Macaca mulatta: one gene and its partners. The protein of the gene in region 3 binds, or shares a complex with, the protein of the main gene of each other region. Links are inferred from orthologs where the notes say so. Each region holds a gene or a part of one and is shown on either strand. Other genes may lie near its edges.

Region 1 (7,260 bases), on a different chromosome or scaffold from region 3:
GATTTTTTCTGTTGTTATTCTAATGGGTCTGAAATGGTATCTCACTGTTGTTCTTTCATTTTACAAATGAAGCTGTAAATCTTTTCACATTTATTAGCCACTTGTTTGATCTTGTAAGTTATTCATAACCTTTCCACATTCTGCCACGGGACTGTCTTTTTATTACTTTCTAATTCTTTATATATTCTGGATAGAAAACTCTTGCCAGTTTTATGTTTTGCAGATACCTTCTTCCAGTCTATGGCTTATCTTTCAACTTTATCTTGCCATCTTTTGTCAAACCTAAGTTGTAAAGAAGTCAAATTTACCAATCTTACCCCTTAAGGAGTTTTAAAAACTCCTTCTCTATCCATAAATAATAAAAGATAGTCTATATTCTGTTTAAAATTTTTGATTTCTATAGCCTAATTTAAAAACATTCCATAAATATATTGTCAGCTGTCCTGGTACAATTTGTTAAATAACTCATTCTTTTCCCATTAATGTGAAAGTCCACCTCTGTAGTACGCTGTTCCAAGTTTCCATATATTCATAAGTTGGTTTCTGGGCTGTCTATGCTGTTCCATTGGTTTAGCTGTCAATTCCCGAGGCAATATCATACTATAAATGGCCACAGTTTTATAAGCAATCTCCAGTATTATTTTGGCTACTCTTGCCTCTGATTTTCCATGAATTTAATGCTTATTCTATTTGATTTTAAGGGGAAAAAACCCTACTGCGATTTTCATTTGAATTAAGAGTGAATTTATAAATTACTTTGTTGAAAACTGACATCTATATGATACTGAATCTTCCCATCCACAAAAACGATACATATTTTTGTCCTTCTATAAAGCCCTTTCAAGTTTTGTACATCTTGTTAATTGCATACCCAAGTTCTTTATTAACTTTTCTTGTAATTATTAATGGGATTGATTTTAATTACAGTACCAATGGCTTATTGCTGGTATAAAGGAATATGCCCTTCCCTCTTCACACAATTGTTGTGATGGTTGAACGAGCTAACAGAAATAAAAATTTTATAAATGGTAAAGCAAAATACATATATATGATATTACTGAGATTCCTTGAACATAAAGTTAACTTTAGTAAGTACTGAAGGTAGGATTTTTTAAAAAAACTCTTCTTGAAGGGTTGGTCCATCATTTTGAGGTTATTAGGCATGAGTTTATATGGGTTTTCATGTTAATTTAACAAATTATTATTGGGCTTTTACTATACATGGGCACTATTTTAGTCACTGGAGATATAGCAGTGAAAAAATTGAAAAGCAAGTAAGACAATTTTAGACAATAAGTGCTACAAAGACAACACATATTGTGATGAAACTGAAAGCAAAAAGAAAACACACACACACACACAAAGACAGCACAACAGATCTTTTTCTTAATGATGGGAAGAGACTTCTTAGATTGAATGGACAGGCAAGATATCACCGAGGAACCGACTTTTGAAGACCTCAATAATAGAGAGAGTCTTGTACAGAGTTAAAGGAAGAATATTTTAGGCAGAATGTGGCAAGTGCCAAGGCCCTGAAGTAAGAACCACCTAGGTATTTCTGAGGAACAGAAATGAAGCTAGTAAGGTTTGAACACCATGACAGACTGGAAGCATGGTAAAAGATAAGGTGGGAGTTTAAATTTTAAGTACAGTGGGAAGCCATTGGAGTTTAAATCAGTGGAATACATAAGCAAATTTACATTTTTAAAGATCACACTGGTCAGGCGCGGCAGCTCACGCCTGTAATCACAGCACTTTGGGAGGGCAAGGTGGGCGGATCACCTGAGGTCAGGAGTTCAAGACCAGCCTGGCCAACATGGTGAAACCCTATCTCTACTAAAAATACAAAAATTAGCTGGGCATGGTGGTGTGTGCCTGTAATCCCAGCTACTCGGGAGGCTGAGGCAGGAGAATCACTTGAACCCAGGAGGTGGAGGTTGCAGTGAGCTGAGATCATGCCACTGCACTCCAGTCTGGGCGACAGAGCGAGACTCCGTCTCGAAAAAAAAAAAAAAATTACATTGGCTTTCAGGATGGAAAAATGGATGGTATGGAACAAGAGGAAAAACAAGGGAACCTATTAGAAGTCCAGAAGTCTGGATTAGGATGGTAGCAGTCAGAGTGAAAATACCTTTTCTGTTAATTCAGTTCAATATGATAGTGGCTTTTATTTTTTAGTTAACAAAACGGTGCTCGGAATGAATATATAATGTATATAAATACACATGAATTTAAATACATATACTGAATTATTTGTATGATTTTCCTTTCATTAGATTGGTGAAATAATCATGTTCTATTTTTCTTTGTATCTCCACAATGCTTTGTCCATAGTAGTTAGTAAATGAGATAGGCAGCAAAAGCTTTAAGTGGAGGAGGGAGTGTGGGGGGTCCTAAGAAGAAATTCAAGGCTGGGTTCTTGGTGGCCAGCAGCACTTGTTCTCTCTGTTCCTTCCTGTGGGATTAATGCTTCCTTAGACCAAGGTGCTGGCAATCTGCTTTCTGCAGGGCTGACCACCACCACCACCACCACCATCACACACACATGCACACAGTTTCACTATCATATGCAGAGCACTAAACCTCATCTTATTTGTAAGATTTCTGCACTACAGGATAATCAATAAAACATACCTGCCGGCCCACTCGGTCAGGAGGAGGCCACAATGCATCATCCTCTTTGGTAATTTCACTGTCATCGATTATTCTCTTCAGTTCCTCCATCACGCTTTTATGTACATAAGCCTGAAAGCAAGTTAAAAGACAAAATGTATGTTGTATCCTTAAGCAGTGCTTTGACTCAGATAGTGATGGAAGATAAAAATAACTGTTCCTGCAGACTTATTTCTGGCATCTTCTTAAGTGGGAAGACATTCATGCTCAACCTCGGCATGATGCAGGTGAGGGACAGGGTCAGAAGTATCTAATAAACTGCACCTCAGTCCCCCATCTAGCTGTTACTACCTCCTGGTACATCCTGTTTACATGGCCCTTCTGCCTGTCCACACAGCCAACTCACAAAGAAACCCAAAATAGATCTGTGAATGCCCCCTGCTATGGTTTGAATTTTTGTGTCTCCTCCAAAATTCATGTTGAAATTAATCCCCAATGCAACGGTGTTAATCGATAGGGCCTTTAAGAGTTGATTGGGCCTTGAGGGCAGAGCCCCCATGGATAGGATTAGTGCCTTAGGAGACAGCTTAAGAGAACTAGCTGGCCCCTTGCTTGTTCTTTCACCATATGAGAACACTGCATTCATCCCTTCTGGAGGATGCAAAAACAAGGCACAGTTGTGGAAGCAGAGACTGGGCCCTCACTAAACACTGAACCTGCCAGTGCCTTGATCTTGGACTTCCCAGCCTCCAAAACTGTGAGAAATATATTTTTATGGCTTAAAAATTACCCAGTCTCAGGTATTCTGTTATAGCAAAACAAAAGAGACAGCAACACCTACATGCCCTGGTTTATTTTTTTTTGAGACGGAGTCTCACTCTGTGGCCCAGGCTGGGGTGCAGTGGTGCAATCTCGACTCACTGCACGCTCTGCCTCCTGAATAGCTGGGACTACAGGCACCCACCACCACGGCTATATTTTTTTGTATTTTCAGTACAGACGGGGTTTCACCGTGTTAGCCAGGATGGTCTCCATCTCCTGACCTCGTGATCCGCCCACCTTGGCCTCCCAAAGTGCTGGGATTACAGGCGTGAGCCACCGCGCCCGGCCAGTTATTCTTAACTAGGTAATACGCTCCTGAGGAGCAAAATGTATTTGAAAAGATATGCCTGTGTAAAAAAATAGTGAGAATGTTGACATGTGTGAATAAGCATGAAACTGATAGCTAAAACAACAGTATGAAAAATATATGCTAAGACATTTTCAAAGGTGGCAGAGTGGTTAAAAGAGTAGCTTTGATGAAGCCTTAATGATGTAGTAGAAATCACAGAGAGGAGAATACAAACTTTACTGGGGAATTCCTTTAATTGGGAATTCCTGCTGTATCTCTTACTAGCAGGGGTAACTCTGAACAAGTCTCATAATTAATATCTGGGCCTTTATTTTCTTATTTGTAAGGGGGCTATAATACCCTCCCCCATCATATGGGCTTATAATCAGGGTTAAATAAGATGCCATGCCTGACATCTAACATGCATTCAATGATATCAACTGCTTTCCCATGCTCCCTTTCCCACTCAGATGCAAATTAAATAGCTCTCCATTGTGTACTATGTGCCAGGGAATATATAGAGCACTTTAAGTATAACACATTTAATTTTATGACAGCACTTGGGAGTGGGAGGTAGCTTTTATTTTCCCTGTTTTTGCAGGTGAAGAAACAGAGATTTAATCAAGTTCAGCCAGGAACTTGCCCACTGTCACATGAGGTAGTAAGCAGCAGACTCAGGGTTCAAACCAAGGTATGTCAATGGTTACCAGTAATTGATTCCACATTGTAAAATAAAAAAATCCCAACTAAAAGATGATTTGGGAAATAATCCAGAAGCTGTCTACAGACATGTGTCTCTCTCCCTGTTCTTTACCTTTCAATACTAGATACAACAAAAACAATGCAAGACAAAAAGCTGAAATGTAGAAAATGAAGGCCTCTCAGAAGGCATACCTCTTTTCTGATCATGACATCATTCTTGTAATTGCTGTTGTTGGCATATCTTAACTTCCCTGTGGGGACAAAAGCCAAATTCAACATATAATAAAAACATGAATAAAGCATCAATACCATACCAAGACTATCGGCAGTTGCCTAAAATGTATCCAACTTGCTCAAAGTGTCTAAGACATTTATTATTTACTCTTAAGGTAGTTCAACAATACTAGTCTTTCAGTTCTTCACTTCAGGCTTAAACAGCCAAATATACAGCTGACACTCAACTACTGCAAAAAGCAGCTCAGGTGAGGTAAAAACACAGGCAGGCTCTTTTCTGACTTTGTCGAATCACATTTTTGCAGGTGAATGTCCTGAAAACAGGCAGAGTAAATGATAACTTACCAGCACATAGGACCTCCTGAGGCTCAAATGAGTTGTGAAAACATTTTGAAAACTGTAGGATGCTGTTTACATATATTATCATGTGACTGTGCCACACTCTATTTCTGTGATGGAAAAGTTGTTGCTTTTATCACTGAGCACATTTGGTACACAAGACCCTTTGTCCATGTGTGCGTCTAACAGGTTAATGTGAATACATGGTGGGGATGAGGAGAAGATAGAAGGAAACAGAAGACATGTAGACTAGAAGACATACATGTGAGATGAGCCCAGTGAATTTATTCCAACGGTCTCTGTGCTGTCTCTCTGCCTCAAGTTTCTTCACATTCAGTTCACTGTCCATATAGTGGACAAGGTGATGTGGTAACAGATCTATCAGATTAGGTTACTCTAATACTTTGATAAAGTCAATGGCTTTCCGCTGCCTTCCTGGTTAAAATCCGGCCGGGCGCGGTGGCTCACGCCTGTAATCCCAGCACTTTGGGAGGCCGAGGCGGGCAGATCACGAGGTCAGGAGATCGAGACCATCCTGGCTAACACGGTGAAACCCCGTCTCTACTAAAAATGTAAAAAATTAGCCAGGCGTGGTGGCGGGCGCCTGTAGTCCCAGCTACCTAGGAGGCTGAGGCAGGAGAATAGCGTGAACCCGGGAGGCGGAGCTTGTAGTGAACCCAGATCGTGCCACTGCACTCCAGCCTGGGCAACTGAGCAAGACTCCATCTCAAAAAAAAAAAAAAAAAAAAAATCCAAACTCCTCAACATGGCATACGGCTAAGCAAAGCCCCTGCCTGCTTTTCCAGCCTCACTCCTGCAATATTCTTCTCTCACACAGCTGGAGTCGAACAACTTGGTTTCTGCCTGAAACATCCCAAGCACTTTTTGGTTTTCAGCCTCTTTGCATGCTGTCTAAAATGCCTTCTTGACTCTTCTTGGTCTCCTAACCAATACCTCACATCCCCTCCTCCCATCATTTTATGTAGGAAGCCTCCTCTGACCCTCAGGCTTGGCTAGGTGCCCCTTCTCTGCTGCAAGTCTCCTCTGTTTCTTTTTACCACAACACCTAATACGCTGTTTGGTCCCTGCTTACAAATCCATCTCCCTCACAGTCGGGGCCTGTCAGATACATCTTTGTGGCCCGCTTAATGGATGTTTTCTGTCATCTTTGATTCCTCTTTCCTTCACCACAGTGCCTCCGCCAAAAAAATCCTATCAACGATCAAAGTCCAGTTGATTCTGCCTCCAACAGTTTCCTAAATCTTTCTCTCCATTTCTACTATCTCTGTAGTCCCAACCGACATCTTTTTTTTTTTTTTTTTTTTGTGACACAGTCTCGCTCTGTCACCCAGACTGGAGTACACTGGCACTATCTCAGCTCACTGCAACCTCCGCCCCAGGTTCAAGCGATTATCCTGTCTCAGCCTCCCGAACAGCTGGGATTACAGGCATCTGCCACCACGTCCGGCTAATTTTTGTATTTTTAGTAGAGGCGGGGTTTCACCATGTTGGCCAGGCTGGTCTCGAACTCCTAACCTCAAGTTATCCGCACACCTCAGCCTCCCAAAGTCCTGGGATTACAGGCGTGAGCCACTGCGACTGGCCCCCAACATCTTTCTTGTCTTGACAACAGTCTCCTAATCAATAGCCCTGTTTTCACTGTTGCCCATTCCGCACCCAATAACCAGAATGCTTTTTCAAGAACAGATCACATTTCTTCTCTGCTTAAAACCTTCCAAGCCCGGCCAGGCGCGGTGGCTCACGCCTGTAATCGCAGCACTTTGGGACACCGAGGCCGGCGGATCGCCCGAGGTCAGAAGTTCGAGACCAGCCTGGCCAACCTGGTGAAACCCTGTCTCTACTAAAAATACAAAATTAGCCGGGCGTGGTGGTGGGTGTCTGTAATACCAGCTACTCGGGAGGCTGAGGCAGGAGAATCGCTTTAACTCGGGAGGCGGAGGTTGCAATGATCCGAAATCGCGCCATAGCATTACAGCCTGGGCAAAAAGAGCGAAACCCGTCTCAAAAAAAAAAATAAATAAAATAAAAAAAGCCTTCCAAGTCCAAACTCTTTACCATGGTCTATAAAGATCTACAAGGTGCGGCTCCTACTACCTATCCGACATCATCTCCTGCCATCTCCCAGCTCACCACTCTTCAATCACACTGACCACCTGAGACATGCCTAAGCTCATTCCCGCCCTGCAGCCTTGACTTCTGGTATTCCCTTTGGGTAGAATGGTCTTCCTTGTGAGCTTCAC
Region 2 (7,260 bases), on a different chromosome or scaffold from region 3:
CCACCATGCCCAGCCTGAAAATTCCTATAATAATTTCTAAGTGCTCACTCTCACTTTCTGTATTTCATTCATTATGAACAGGTAAAAAGTTCATAGATCTCCTACTTCAAGTACCTGTATTCCATCCATACTAGAAAAAAGAACCAAATCAAAGTGAACCATTTTGTGGTAAGTTAAATTTCCACTTGATGTAACAAAAGAATTCCTAGCCCATAAGTGTTACCAACAGTGCAATGGCACAGACAGAACTGAGCTCCTTTGGGAAGTATTCAGAGGAAAAATAATCTTATCTGTTAGATAATCTATAAAATGTTTTCCTACTTCGGAAAGGTTAATGGATTGGATTAAAACATCATAGAATCTCTTCACTCTCCAAGATTCTGAGTCCAATCAAAAGCAAATACACACACATACACCCTCAAAGTAGCCAATAACTAATCAATCATTAGCATACTATTAGCATACTTACAAATCATCAGTTATGATATATTAAGTAGAATGTATGAGGAAAGGACTATGAAACTGACAAAGCATATGGAAATCATAATTAGGAAGCCCTCAGTAAGTGAGAAGTATGAATAAAGCACCACCATAATCCTTTTTAGTCCATTACTGATGGTACAAGTACATTCTCAGGTTGCCTCTTCAAAGTTTAAACCAGTCCTCGCAAATCAAAACACAAAATAAGGATAAGCCTTTTTCTTTTTCCTAAAAGAACTATTGATAACACCATTGCCATCTAAAATTCTCACCTCTGAGTGACCTTCAGCCACAAAGATTTAACCACAAGTCTCTACCTTCAGCCACAAGTCTCTACCTTGACCCTGCCCTAACTGTACTACTGGCATACACTATTCCTGTTCAGTCTTCTGGTTAAGTCAATCATCTTCTAGCGCTAACTACTTAAACCACTCCTCCCCTACCACAGACTTATGAAACTAGAAAAGGATATTCTCCTATACAAATTTCTGATCAACAGTAATTTCAGATTCTCAACCATGCAATATAGTTGTAGAAATATTAAAATAGTTTAATACTCAGCCACGTGCTATGGCTATTACCTTATTTCTACACCCCCTCAGCCCCCCTCCAAATCCATCCTCCACAGAAATTGACCTAATGCCCAGCAACTCCATCAACTTCTAGCTTCCTGTTGCTTCTCAGGTACAAATACTACACACTAGCCTACAATACCTTTTAACAATCAAAATTGGCCCCAAAGTCAGGTCTTTTCACCAATTACCACAGGCACAGTACGTTCCTCATTTAGAATTTTAAATGAATGCCCCAAGGAAGAAGACTCCTACGAATGAGTTTTGAAGTTGCATTTAAGAAATTTTTCATAGCTTATTTTGTGCATTATTTTCCAAAACTCTAATCTGAAATACCACTGGTAATTAATGACTCATTTTCTTAAGAAGAGCAACAGTGACATAAAGAACTTAAAATACAAAACAATGAAAGCAAACCTGTTATAAAGAGAACATTAAAGCACACAGAAAAATATTAGCAGGTAAGTTTAAGTGACAGAAAAGGAAAATTTATCCCTCAATTATTAAGTAGTGTTTAAAATCACAGGAAGAATACACATTCACAAGGTGAAAATCACCATCTACTTGGCAGATTTTTTTTTTAAATCAGAAACAAAATCTATTGTAGACTCACATTAAAACATGAGTACTCAGACTGTTCTACTTTGAAATTTTCCTGGAATGTTAAGAAATCACCTGTAAGGAGCCCTTTTCCATAAGTTCTTTCAGTGGCATGAAGACTTTAAACATTTTTAAGTATGAGCTCCAAAAATAAATTCTCAACTCTGAGAAACATTTGAAAATCACCTGTTTTGTCTCTCAGTATTCTGGAGCTCCCTGTGGTCCCTTTTCAGGTGTTTGGTCAAAGACGTAAAGTACTCTTTTAAAAGATTCTGGAAGGGCTGTTGTTTCTCTGGACTAATTATCTCACTAGGAGGAAAACTCAAATTAAACTTCTCTGCAGCACTCTTTACTTTCCTTGGTACAAGTCCAGCAATATCATCTCCACAATGTCGACAGAAACTAATCACTACAGAGACATGAGTGTGGGACTCCCGATCAGCATTAATAATATTTTTTAGCTGTTCATAGATTAAGGAAAGACCTTCCTTGTCAGTGAAAATCCCAACTATTGTCAATTCTGCAATGAAACGCAAATCGGTTCTTAACTTGGTAATGTTAGGTGTTTTCTCCTCTTTCCTTGCTTCAAAATGTTTTTTCCAGACCTGAAGAAGTGATGGGGCAAAGTCAGCATAACGCTGGTGAAAGAGAGAGCAGAGGTGCACAGCACAGTTCACATCAGAGATTTTCAGTTTTGCTTCCACAATAGAAGCTACAGCTTCTGCAATGTATTTGCTTAAATTTAGGCCATTAAAATCATGGGACAAGGAGTCTCTCTGTTGTTCCGTAATAGTTTTTAGTTTCTTGACAAAAGCAGTATTTTTCTTCAAACTTGAGTCAAGGCGGCTAAAGAAGTTCTCCTCTGGTCGGTTGTCCGGAGCATTTTGGTTTTTGCTACGAAGTTCTTTTCTTAAATGATGTCGTTCCCAAGCTTCCTGATGAAGCTGAACGGATTCTTCTTTTTCTCTATATAAAAACAAACAAATACATAAAATACTCTCTATATTTTGAAGCATTATACACAAATCCCCTACGAGTAAAAAACCAGTGAAAAAAATTATCTAAGTATAATAATCTACAAGATTCAAAAGGCCTTTCACTACTTTTAAAGACATTTTACTGGCCGGGCGTGGTGGCTCATGCCTGTAATCCCAGCACTTTGGGAGACCAAAGCAAACAGATCACCTGAGGTCAGGAGTTCAAGGCCAGCCTGGCCAATATGGTGAAATCCCATCTCTACTAAAAATACAAAAATTAGCTGGGTGTGATGGCGCTCACCTGTAGTCCCAGCTACTCAGGAGGCTGAGGCACAACACTTAAACCCAGGGGACAGAGGTTGCAGTAAGCCAAGAAGGTGCCATTGCACTCTAGCCTGGGCGACAGAGCAAGACTCCGTCTCAAAATAAATAAATAAATAAACACATTTTACTAATGACTTACGCTAACAAGTATTATCTTAATGAGAAGCCCAGTACTGTAGGTTGATAACAAATGTCATAGAGCGGAGGATACTGACTAGATTAAATTAAAAATCATTCTGCCAACTGGCAAGTTAACTAGGTAAGACATATAATGCTACTATGAAAAATATAGTATGTTTGGGAAGGATATAAAATGTGAAACAAATAAAAGCAATGGGCAAAGAGAAAAAAAAAATCCACAAAGAATTCTTTAAAGAATTAGCACTACAAGGCCAGGTATGGTGACTTTGGGAGGCAGCACTTTGGGAGGCAGGTGGATCACCTGAGGTCAGGAGTTTGAGAACAGCTTGGCCAACATGGTGAAACCCCGTCTCTACTAAAAACACAAAAATCAGCTGGGCATGGTGGTGGGCGCCTGTAATCCCAGCTACTTGGGAGGCTGAGGCAGGAGAATTGTTTAAACCTGGGAGTCGGAAGCTGATGCTGCAGTAAGCCAAGATCACGCAACTGCACTCCAACCTGGGCAACAGAGTGAGACTCTGTCTCAAAAAAAAAAAAAAGAATTAGTACTATAAAAGAACGCATTAAAAATGTTTTTGAGGCTGGGCGGTGGCTTCACACTTGTAATCCTAGCACTCTGGGAGGCCGAGTCAGGCAGATCACAAGGTCAGGAGATCGACACATCCTGGCTAACATGGTGAAACCTCATCTCTACTAAAAACAACAAAAAATTAGCAAGGCATGGTGGCACGCGCCTGTAGTCCCAGCTACTCGGGAGGCTGAGGCAGGAGAATCACTTGAACTCAGGAGGCAGAGGTTGCTATGAGCCAAGATCATGCCACTGCACTCCAGCCTGTGCAACAGAGTGAGACTCTATCTCAAAAAAAAAAAAAGTTTTGAAATGTTAGATATTGTTTTTCCATACTCAGCACATTAGCCAAACCTTTAACAAACTACCTTGCCAGGTTTGGACTCTTAAAAATTCAAGTGATTTAGAAAATTTGGAAAGGAACCAGAAGACAACTATCAAATAAGAAACTTTTAATAAAAAGCTAGTAGACTCAGTTTATACTGAAAAAAATAACTAAAAACAAATATACCTATTTTTCCTCTAAAAAGACAGAACAATTTAAATTGCAGAAGTAATAAAATAGGCAGGAGTGAGGGGTGACAAACAATATGATTTTGAAGTTTATTGAAGTTTTTGAGATAACAAAATATATAACTTAAATCTCCCCTTTGGGAAGCTGAGGTGGGAGGAGCCCAGGAGTTAAGATCAGACTGGGCAACAGAGTGAGACCCAATCTCTACAAAAAATTTAAAAAATTAGCTGGACGTGGTGGCACAGGCTTGTAGTCCCAGTTACTTGGGAGGCTGAGACGGGAGGATCGCTTGAGCCAGGGAGGTTGAAGCTGCAGTGAGTCATGATCACACCATAGCTCTCCACCCTAGGTGACAGAGTGAGGCCCTGTCTCAAAAAATTATACACATATCTATAAATCTCTAAAAAAGTAGATTTTCATCTTTCTGAGATAATCACCCCTGAGTTACAAGATAATTACTTGATTTTTCCACTAAAAACTACAATATATTAACAGAAAGGTGGCCTCTATCACTGATAACATGGACAGTTGAGTATCTCTTTGAAGTCTCCCAGCAACACACAAATACAAAATGAGCAGTGAAAGTACATTTTAAGAAAGTATGTACAAGGCCGGGTGTGGTGGCTCACGCCTGTAATCCCAGCACTTTGGGAAGCCAAGATGGGTGGATCACCTGAGGTCAGGAGTTCGAGATCAGCATGACCAACATGGAGAAACCCCATCTCTACTAAAAATACAAAAATTAGCTGGGTGTGGTGGCACATGCCTGTAGTCACAGCTACTCAGGAAGCTGAGGCAGGAGAATGGCTTCAACCGGGAGGCGGAGGTTGGGGTGAGCCGAGATCGTGCCATTGTATTCAGCCTGGGCAACAAGAGCAAAACTCTCTCAAAAAAGAAAGAAAGAAAAGAAAGTACGTACATACATTAAATAACTCAATTTTCAGCTGCACTGAAAACACTTTAAGATGTATAATGAAGTTTTTATGGGTAAATGCTATGATGCTTTAAAATACTCCAGGGGGAGAAAGTGTGTAATTATTGATGCTAGGTAGATGAGGGACTAGTTCACTATACTCCTCTATTTTTGCATATATCTGAAATTTCCCCAGGAGCTCAGGAGTTCAAGACCAGCCTGGGCAACACAGCAAAACCCCGTCTCTACAAAAAATACAAAAATTAACCAAGCGTAGTGGTATGCATCTGTAGTCCCAGCTACTCAGGAGGCTGAGGTGGGAGGATCGCTTGAGCCCAGGAGGCACAGACTGCAGTGAGCTGAGACCGGGCCACTGTACTCCAGCCTGGGCGATAGAGCAAACCCTGTCTCAAAAAAAAAAAAAATCTCTCAAGAATCATGGTTCTGAATATTCCAAAACTAGGCACTACTATAGTCTTGCAGACCTAAGGCTTCTGTTCCTTATTAAAAGTAGAGGTCCTGGCCAGGACTGGTGGCACAAGCCTGTAATGACAGATACTCAGGAGGCTGAGGCAGGAGGAATCACTTGAGCCCAGGAGTTGGAGGCTGCAGTACGTTATGATGGAACCTGAGAACAGCCACTGCACTCCAGCCTGGGTAACAACACAGCAATGCCCCCATCACCCCCACAAAAAAGGGAAGAAAGCAGAAGTTCTAAAGAACAACTCTGAGAAGAAAGGTGGCTGTTCTAGAGATCTATACAAAATCGTGCTTGCAAAAAGCTTTTTAAATTATATATCTGGCCACACACAGTGGTGTACATCTGTAGTTCCGGCTACTAGGGAGGCTGTAGTGGGAGGATCGCTTGAGCTCAGCAATTACAGACTTAGACAAAATAGCAAGACATCATTTCCAAAAAATGATTATTTTAGGCCAGACATGGTGGCTCATGCCTATAATCCCAAAATTTTGGGAGGCTGAGGCAGGAGGACTTCTTGAGTCCAAGAGTTCAAGACCAGCCTGGGCAACACGGTGAAACTCTATCTACAAAAAGTACAAAAATACCCAGGTGTGGTAGCATGCACCTGTAGTCCCCACTATCAAGGAGGATGTGGTGGGAGAATGGCTTGAGCCTGGGAGGTCAAGGCTGCAGTGAGCTGCCGTCACACCACTACACTCCAGCCTGGCTGGAGTTTGTTGAGCTCTTATTATGTTACCAGGCACTGTAAAAATACATTAGCAAATATCCCTAACACAGTACCAATGAAGTTAAATTCTACGAGCCTCATTTTAGAGATCCACAAAATGAAGCTTAAAAAAGGTAAGTTGCCCTCTTAAATTTAAAAAAAAATTTTTAATTAAAAAATAAATAAGTTATATATTATTCTTTCCCTTATTTTTCTTCACATAGACAGGGTCTCACTATATTGCCCAGGCTGGTCTTGAACTTCTGGGCTCAACCAATCCTCCTGCCTCAGCCTCCCAAAGTGCTGGGTTTACAGGCGTGAACCACCATGCCTGGCCTAATAAGTTTCATATTTAGAGAAGAGCTTAAGCTATTCAACAAAGTTACTGCTGATGCATCTCTGGTGTTTTTCCTCTAAGAACTACATTTTTCACTAGTTTATTATTTACTTGCACAGATTTACAAGGTTAAAAATAGATTTAAATAAAGATAAGAATGGAAAGCATTGTGGAATTGTGCTTAATGAATAGTCAAAAGTTTTAAAGTCAGGCCAACCTAGCTTTAAATCCCAACAGCTCTACTATTTGCTGTGACCTTAAGCAACTTACCCTCCTTAAACTTCATTTTATTAATCTGTGAAATGAGGATCATAAAACTTACTTCACTGAGATTGTCCTAAGGATAGATGCTAATATATTCTGTACAAGGCCTGATACATAAGAACTCAAGAAACAGAGGCCAACTGAAGGTTTTCAATTTTTTTAAAAAATGGAGTATTATCATACCATGAAAAAAAGTTTTTGTTTTATTTATTTTATTATTATTTTTTGAGATGCAGTCTTGCTCTGTCGCCCCAGCAGGAATGCAGCAGCACAAACTTGGCTCACTGCACCCTCCACCTCCTAGGTTCAGGCGATTCTCCTACCTCAGCCTCCTAAGTAACTGGACGACAAGCGCGCGCCACCATGCCTAATTTTGTATGAAA
Region 3 (7,736 bases):
GGACAAACTTAAAACCTTGTTGGACTTTTAACCTACAGAACTGTAAGATAATACACTTGCGTTATTTAAACCCACTAAATTTGTGGTAATGTTACAGCAGGAATAGGAAGCTAATACAGTTGGTGTGGGGGAAGATCAAGTGTTCGGTTTTGGATGCATTCAGTGGCTGAACACGTTAGACGTCTTAAGTGGAGATGTTAAATAGGCAGTTGGATACATGACTCTGATGATTTCCAAGGCTCATAAGAATGGCCAGGTACTGAAAGAAAGAGTAACAGATCCCAAATACAGGGAAACAGTTTTGGCCACAGGAATAGGAATCCAAAAATAGGCTGGACAATTAGAGTGAAAAAATTTAAGTGCAGAGTCAGGGGAATATATTCTAGAGGTCAGCAAAAATGGGAGTTGGCCCTGAGGCAGCTTTCTGCCTTGGGCTCCTATTGCATCTTTACTTTGGTTTTTGTCCTCTATGGGTGTCTGTCTGTCTCTCTCTCTCTCTCTTTTTTTTTTTGAGATGGAGTCTCACTCTGTCACCCAGGTTGGAGTCCAGTGGTTCTACCTCGGCTCACTGCAATCTCCGCCTCCCAGGTTCAAGTGACTCTCCTGCTTCAGCCTCCCAAATAGCTGGGACTACAGGCGCCCGCCACCATGCCCAGCTAATTTTTGTATTTTAGTAGAGACAGGGTTTCACCAAGTTGGTCAGGCTGGTCTTGAACTCCTGATCTCAGGTGATCTGCCTGCCTCGGCCTCCCAAAGTGCTGGGATTACAGGCATGAGCCACCACGCCCAGCTAATTTTTTGTGTTTTTAGTAGAGACGGGGTTTCGCCAAGTTAGCCAGGCTGGTCTCGAACTCCTGACTTCAGGTGATCCATCCGCCTTGGCCTCCTAAATTGCTGGGATTATAGGCGTGAGCCACCACGTCCGGCCGACTGAAGTGCTTTCTATCATTGTGGTTTTACCTTTTCTAAAATTTCATATAAATGGAATTGTACAACATGTACTCTCTTGGTGTCTGGATTCTGTCACTCAACATAATCACTGTGAGATTCACTTATGTTGATGCGTATATCAATAGTTAATTTTTATTGCTGAGTGGCATTGCATTCTATGGCTGTACCATATTTTGTTTTATCCCTTTGCCTGTTGAGAACATTTGGATTGTTTCCAGTTTGGAGTTATTATAAATAATGTAAAATTGGCCCTTTTTAAGTGAAGAGGGTGATCACAACTAAATCAAATTGGGTTTTATTTTTATTCCCTTCCCTGTGGGACATCAGTACCTGGGGAGAATGATCCTTTTGTAAAATAAGGTGATGAAAACAAATCTCGTATATTTTGGTCATATTACTCCTTTTTTTTTTTTTTTTTTGAGACGGAGTCTCGCTCTGTCACCCGAGCTGGAGTGCAGTGGCCGGATCTCAGCTCACTGCAAGCTCCGCCTCCCGGGTTTACGCCATTCTCCTGCCTCAGCCTCCCAAGTAGCTGGGACTACAGGTGCCCGCCACCTCGCCCGGCTAGTTTTTTGTATTTTTTAGTAGAGACGGGGTTTCACCGTGTTAGCCAGGATGGTCTCGATCTCCTGACCTCGTGATCCGCCCGTCTCGGCCTCCCAAAGTGCTGGGATTACAGGCTTGAGCCACCGCGCCCGGCCCATATTACTCCTTTAAATATCAGTATCTTGTGTTTATTTATTATTATCCTTCTTTTTTAGATACAGGGTCTCGCTCTGTCGCCCAAGCTGGAGTGCAGTGGCGCGATCATGGCTCACTGCAGCCTCGAATTCCTGGGCTCAAGATCCTCCCTTCTCAGCCTTCCCTAGCAGCTGGGAATACAGGCGCGCGCCACTGAACTCGGCTAATATTGTAGTGTTTACTAAGTATCTGTAAATCCTAATCAATATAAGGAAAATAAATTTTTTTAAATGTTAGGCTCTTTCTTTGAGTTGTAGGAAAATAAATTCTAAAGCCTCTGAATTCAAAGACAAAATATACAAGTCGCTCCCCTAGTGAGGCAAAATTTGGACGGCATTGAGTTTATCCGATGGAAACTAAGCGTGCAGAACGTATCTTTCGACCTGAAAAACTCTGAAGATGAAAGGATTCGATTTACTTACAAACAGGGACCCTGAGATACCTCTGGCTCCTGAACGCCCAACAAAAGCGGGCAGCTGCTTTGCATGCCGGGACTTGTAGTCCCCGACAGAGTCACTTCAAGATGGCGGAGTTGCTAATGACGCGCGAAGGGGCGGGCCCAGAGGGAGTCTGCGCCGCGAGGGGATTGGGTGACACAGGAACTTGGCGGGCGGGAAGTAAAAACCAGGTGTTAAAACCTTTGCACTGGGAAAGGCCCAAGTCTCGCGAGAGCTTGGCAGGCCCCAGTGGAACGTGGGGCCCGACTTATCATAAGGGGCATTTGTTGGGGGCGGAGCTTTGACGGGAGCTTCCCTGGAGCCGTTGGTGCCCGGGGTAGCCCCGTTCCGGCCGAGCCGCTTCAGCGGGGGACGTAGCCATGAAGGAAGAGAAGGAGCACAGGCCTAAGGAGAAGCGAGTAACCTTGTTAACCCCCGCCGGGGCCACAGGCAGCGGTGGTGGGACCTCGGGGGACAGCTCCAAGGGGGAAGATAAGCAGGATCGCAACAAGGAGAAGAAAGAAGCGCTGAGCAAGGTGCCCGGTCGGCCGCTGGCCCGGGAGAGGGCGGGACGGGTCCGCAGCGCGGGGAGGATGGCTGGGAATGGGGCCGGCCCCTTTCTCTCTCAGGTTCCCCTTCTTCTCTTCGCCTGAATGGAAGTCGCACCATCCTGGTTTATCCTTTCTCCCGAAATGGGGAGAGCCCCTCCCGGCCAAATCCTGGGTAGGGGTGAGGAAAAGGGGGGACTCCCCAAACGGGAAGGGTTTAGGTCAGAGCTGTGAGGTGATAATGGGAAGAGAGAGCGACGGTATAAAGAATGAGGAACTAAAGGTGTAATTGGGGAGAAATATTAAATACTGAAGGAGACATGAGGGATGGCAATATTATTCATGGAGGCGAGTTGGGGGAGAGTTCAGGGTGATTAATGGTACGGGAGGGTAGATCGAGAGCATACTATTTTGAGAGCAATGGGTGGATTTTTTGTATTCGTTAGAGTTTTGAATTCTTAAGTTCAATGGGCAAGGATTTTGTTTTAAGATGTGTTGGACGTGGGAGAAACTTGTTACTAAATCAAGATTTCGTGGCACCCACAAAGACCAGGGTTGGCTTACTAATTTCTTGCCACTAGATCTGTTAAAAAATGGGTGATCGAAAATGATGCACAAACCTGGTAAACTGCAGGGCTGCTGTAAAGAGCAAAACCTGAGATTTTTCCCTGCTCCAGGTGGTTCTCATTTCCAAGCGTTTTTTTTTTTTTTTTAACCGCGTTACTATTATCTTTGACTACTTCTGAGCATTGGGCTGCAGAATATTTTCTCCTGGGTTTTTACAAGTGATCTCATATTTTAAAAAGCCCAGTCTTCTTCAGGAACTGTGATTCTTTCAGGTATGAGAGAAAATTGATTTTTACTAATTTTATTTTCCTTATGCATTTCTTAAGGTGGTAATTCGAAGATTACCTCCCACTTTGACCAAGGAGCAGCTTCAGGAACATCTTCAACCTATGCCTGAGCATGATTATTTTGAGTTTTTTTCTAATGATACGAGGTAAAAAAAAAAAAAAAAAAAAAGGAAAGGGGTAAATGAAAAAGGTTTCTTTCACTCTTTTTATCCTACTGTTTTCCATTTAATTTTTGAGCTTGTCTTTAATATATGCATACTTGTAATTGGGCCAGACACCTGCAAATACATTTACATAATTGCTTTCCTCTCTGCAGTTTGTATCCTCATATGTATGCCAGAGCATACATCAACTTTAAAAACCAAGAGGACATTATTTTGTTCAGGGATCGCTTTGATGGTTATGTATTCCTTGACAATAAAGGTGAGTTCTGGTAACTGAAATAAAAAGGGAATTTCTTTGTCATTCTTTGTCATTTGTATGTTTAAGACAGTGTGTGCATTGCGTTGCTTCCTGGGTGATAAAATGTGCAACATTTAAGTAAAGAGTTTTACACATTTGATAAGCTTGTTGCAGTCTTATAAATAGACATGTGACTTTTCACAGTCCTTGGTTACTTTTATTAACTTACTATTTTTTTAATTTGATCAACTGAGTGAAATTGCAACTGTTTTCTCCTCGTGTGACAAATTTTTTGCCCTGGCTTAAACCTGCTGTTTTGACTATAGAGTTTCAGCTGCAGTACTGATAAGTGACTCTTAAACTTGTTTGATAAATTTTAAATATTTACTTCTTATTTTGCTTCAAAGACAAACATTTATTTAATTCAAATCCATTAAGCCAACAGTTCCCAGTTGGGATACTGTTGAACATTCTCACAAAGTTGTATATAATTAAAACATGAAACTTGATACATTGGCCGAGCACGGTGGCTCACACCTGTAATCCCAGCACTTTGGGAGGCCGAGGCGGGCAGATCACGAGGTCAGGAAATCGAGACCATCCTGGCTAACACAGTGAAACCCCGTCTCTACTAAAAATACAAGAAATTAGCCGGGCATGGTGGCGGGTGCCTGTAGTCCCAGCTACTCGGGAGGCTGAGGCAGGAGAATGGCGTGAACCCAGGAGGCGGAGCTTGCAGTGAGCGGAGATCGCGCCACTGCACTCCAGCCTGGGCGACAGAGCAAGACTCCGTTCCAAAAAAAAAAAAAAAAAAACTTGATACATCTCGGCCCGGTGCGTGGCTCTCGCCTGTAATCCTGTAATCCCAGCACTTTGGGATGCCGAGGCAAGTGGATCACGAGGTCAGGAGATCGAGACCAGCCTGGCCAACATGGTGAAACCCCGTCTCTACTAAAAATACTAAAAAAAATTAGCCGAACGCGGCGCCTGTAATCCCAGCTACTCAGGAGGCTGAGGCAGAAGAATCGCTTGAACCCGGGAGGCAGAGATTGCAGTGAGCCAAGATCACGCCACTGCACTCCAGCCTGGCGACAGAGCCAGACTCTGTCTCAAAAAAAAAAAAAAAAAAAAAAAAAACCTTGATACTTCTCTTACTTTATATCTAGAAAGGTCCAGTCTATAGGCAAGACACATTTCTGCTTTAACACTCTATTATATGCTACCTACAACATTTAGCCAGAGAATGTCTAAGCTGCCATTTGCCACTTTTCTTTTTGGTTTGCAATTATAGGTAAATAGTGTGTCTTCTTGTTTAGTTTTGTTTTTTTCAATATTCCTTCAAAGTTGGTAAAAATTAAATTTTTGTCAGGGACTATGCCAGTAAAAATTGAAGGATTGCCAGTGTTTGTCCAACTTTTATTAATCTCCCCAAGCCAGCTATTTTTCCACTCCAACTATTTTATTCCAGTAGATATTTAACTAGATTCTAGTTACTTAGCCTGGAAATCTGAGTTGTGTTTAATTTTTTCCTTTTTTAAAATCTCTTACATGTAAGTTATGAATCTTGTCAATTTATTGTTTATCTTTTGAGACAGGGTCTCCACCCAGGTTGGAGTGCTGTGCCGCAATCATAGCCCACTGCAGCCTGGAATTCCTGGACTCAAGCAACCCTCCCACCTCAGCCTCCTGAGTAGCTGGGACTACAGACGCGTGTCACCATGCCTGGCTAATTTTCTTTAAATTTTTTTATAGAGCTGGGGTCTTGCTATGTTACCCAGGCTGGTCTTGAACTCCTGGGTTCAAGTGATCCCCCCACCTCAGCCTCCCAAAGTGCTGGGATTACAGGTGCAGGCCACCGTACCGAGCCCAACACCACTTATTAAAGAGACTATCCTTTCCCCATTGTGGTTTTTGTTTGTTCATTTGTTTTGTTTTGTTTTTAAATCTTAAAGACAAGGTCTACTTATATTGCCCAGGCTGGATTTTATTGTTTTTTTTAATATCTTGTTCACCTAGACTTTCAGTCACACTTTATGTTCTCATCATTTAATGTCTAGACAACCACTGTCTCTAAACTTACAGGATTTTCCATTTTTCCCATTCTTGTATAATTCAGTCTATTATATTGCCATGAAATTAATCTTTTTGAAAATAATGATTTAAACTAACGGTTGGGGGAAAAAAGTCCAAACTCCTTAGCCTGGTAGTCAGGGTCCTCCATATTCTGGCCTCACTTCTGTTTCTTCAGCCTGTCTTCCACAATTTCCCTCTGTTTCAGTCTGGTTTATCTATTCCTTCTCAAATATATTTTGGTTTTTGGTTTGTATTTTTGTTTTTTTCATTTTCTTTCCTTTTTTCTTTTCTTTTTTTCTTTTTTTTTTTTTTTTTTTTTTGAGACAGACCCTTACTCTGTCACCCAGGCTAGAGTACAGTGGCACAATCTTGGCTCATTACAACCTCCACCTCCTGGGTTCAAGCAATTCTCGTTCCTCAACCTGTCGACTTAGCTGGGATTACAGGTACGTGCCACCACACCCAGCTAATTTTTGTAATTTTAGTAGGGATGGGGTTTTACCATGTTGACCAGGCTGGTCTCGAACTCCTGGCCTCAAGCAATCCACTCGCCTCAGCCTCCCAAAGTGCTGGAATTACAGGCATGAGCCACCATGCCTGGCCTAATATATCACAGTTTTGAAGCTAATCTGATTCTGTACTCACTGGGATTCCCAACATAATTTTTCCTTTATGACTGCTTTGCAGTGCCTTCTGGTCAATTCTATTTATTTTTATTTTTTTTCTTATGTCTATATGCCAGTGATTTAAGGATAGGATACCTTGTTTTTGACATTCTGTGACAGGGTGCTTGTGAATTTTTTTCCCATTAGTCACTTGAGGGTTTTGTATTGAAATATAACTCACCTATAGTAAAATTTATCCTCTTAAAGCGTACAATTCAGTGGTTTCTGGTATATTCACAAAGTAGTACAACCATCAGTACTAATTCCAGAATGTTTTCATCCCTCCAAAAAGAAACCCATATCTATTAGTAGTTACCTCCCATTCTCTCCCTCCAGCCCCTGGCAACCACTAATCTACTTTATGTATCTATGATTTCCCTCCATTTCATATAAATGTAATCATACAATATGTGGTCTTTTCTGACTGGCTTTTTTTTACCTAGCACGATGTTTTCAAGGTCCATCCATGTTGTAACATATAACATGTCATTATCTCATTCCTTCTGCTTTTTTTTTTTTTAACGGAGTCTCGCTCTGTAGCCCAGGCTGGAGTGCAGTGGCACGATCTCGGCTCCCTGCAAGCTCCGCCCCCCGGGTTCACGCCATTCTCCTGCCTCAGCCTCCCGTGTAGCTGGGACTACAGGCACTCGCCACCACGCCCGGCTAATTTTCTTTTTTTTTTTTTTTTTTGTATTTTTAGTAGAGACGGGGTTTCACCGTGTTAGCCAGGATGGTCTCGATCTCCTGACCTCGTGATCCGCCCGCCTCGGCCTCCCAAAGTGCTGGGATTACAGGCGTCAGCCACCGCGCCCAGCCTTCCTTCTGCGTTTTTAAAAATTGTAAAATACACATAACATAAAATTTACCATCTTAACCATTTTAAGTGTACAGTTCAGTAGCATTAAGGTATATTCACACTGTTGTGCAACAATCTTGGGAACTTTTTCATCTTGCAAAACTGAAACTCTTTACCCATTAAACAACTTATTTCCTTTCCTGCAGCCCCTGGCAACCACCATTATACTTTGTGTCTCTATGAGTTTGACTACTCTAGGTACCACATAT

Evidence for each region. Proteins that work in one complex are often made in the same cells at the same time.
Region 1: UPF3B (region 3) and MAGOH share a complex: the UniProt entries of both Homo sapiens proteins name them as parts of the mRNA splicing-dependent exon junction complex. The link is inferred for Macaca mulatta from reciprocal best matches to the Homo sapiens genes UPF3B and MAGOH.
Region 2: the proteins of UPF3B (region 3) and UPF2 are in contact, whole or in part, in a crystal structure (PDB 7NWU), measured with the Homo sapiens proteins. The link is inferred for Macaca mulatta from reciprocal best matches to the Homo sapiens genes UPF3B and UPF2. Residues at the interface, in NP_542199.1 of Homo sapiens: Lys52, Arg56, Arg57, Tyr79, Glu81, Phe83, Asn85, Asp86, Thr87, Ser88, Leu89, Tyr90, His92, Tyr94, Arg96, Tyr98, Ile130, Glu132, Pro135, Phe136, Lys138, Ala139, Ala140, Arg147, Asp148, Lys150, Val151, Gly152, Thr153, Ile154; in NP_056357.1 of Homo sapiens: Lys767, Arg768, Pro769, Pro770, Leu771, Glu773, Tyr774, Lys777, Lys790, Arg793, Gln794, Arg796, Lys797, Leu798, Pro799, Trp800, Gln801, Cys811, Ile814, Asn815, Trp817, Tyr837, Gln838, Glu839, Asp840, Ile843, His844, Val846, Asp847, Gly848.

The regions. Positions count from the first base shown.
Region 1 is NC_133406.1:187,370,942-187,378,201, reverse strand, and holds part of MAGOH (protein mago nashi homolog), read right to left. Parts: intron 4,678-7,260; coding exon 4,619-4,677; intron 2,746-4,618; coding exon 2,635-2,745; intron 1-2,634. UniProt on the Homo sapiens protein: Required for pre-mRNA splicing as component of the spliceosome. Plays a redundant role with MAGOHB as core component of the exon junction complex (EJC) and in the nonsense-mediated decay (NMD) pathway.
Region 2 is NC_133414.1:13,575,622-13,582,881, forward strand, and holds part of UPF2 (regulator of nonsense transcripts 2), read right to left. Parts: intron 2,619-7,260; coding exon 1,839-2,618; intron 1-1,838. UniProt on the Homo sapiens protein: Involved in nonsense-mediated decay (NMD) of mRNAs containing premature stop codons by associating with the nuclear exon junction complex (EJC).
Region 3 is NC_133426.1:126,334,092-126,341,827, reverse strand, and holds the start of UPF3B (regulator of nonsense transcripts 3B), read left to right. Parts: upstream 1-2,429; 5' UTR 2,430-2,509; coding exon 2,510-2,665; intron 2,666-3,570; coding exon 3,571-3,677; intron 3,678-3,847; coding exon 3,848-3,954; intron 3,955-7,736. UniProt on the Homo sapiens protein: Involved in nonsense-mediated decay (NMD) of mRNAs containing premature stop codons by associating with the nuclear exon junction complex (EJC) and serving as link between the EJC core and NMD machinery.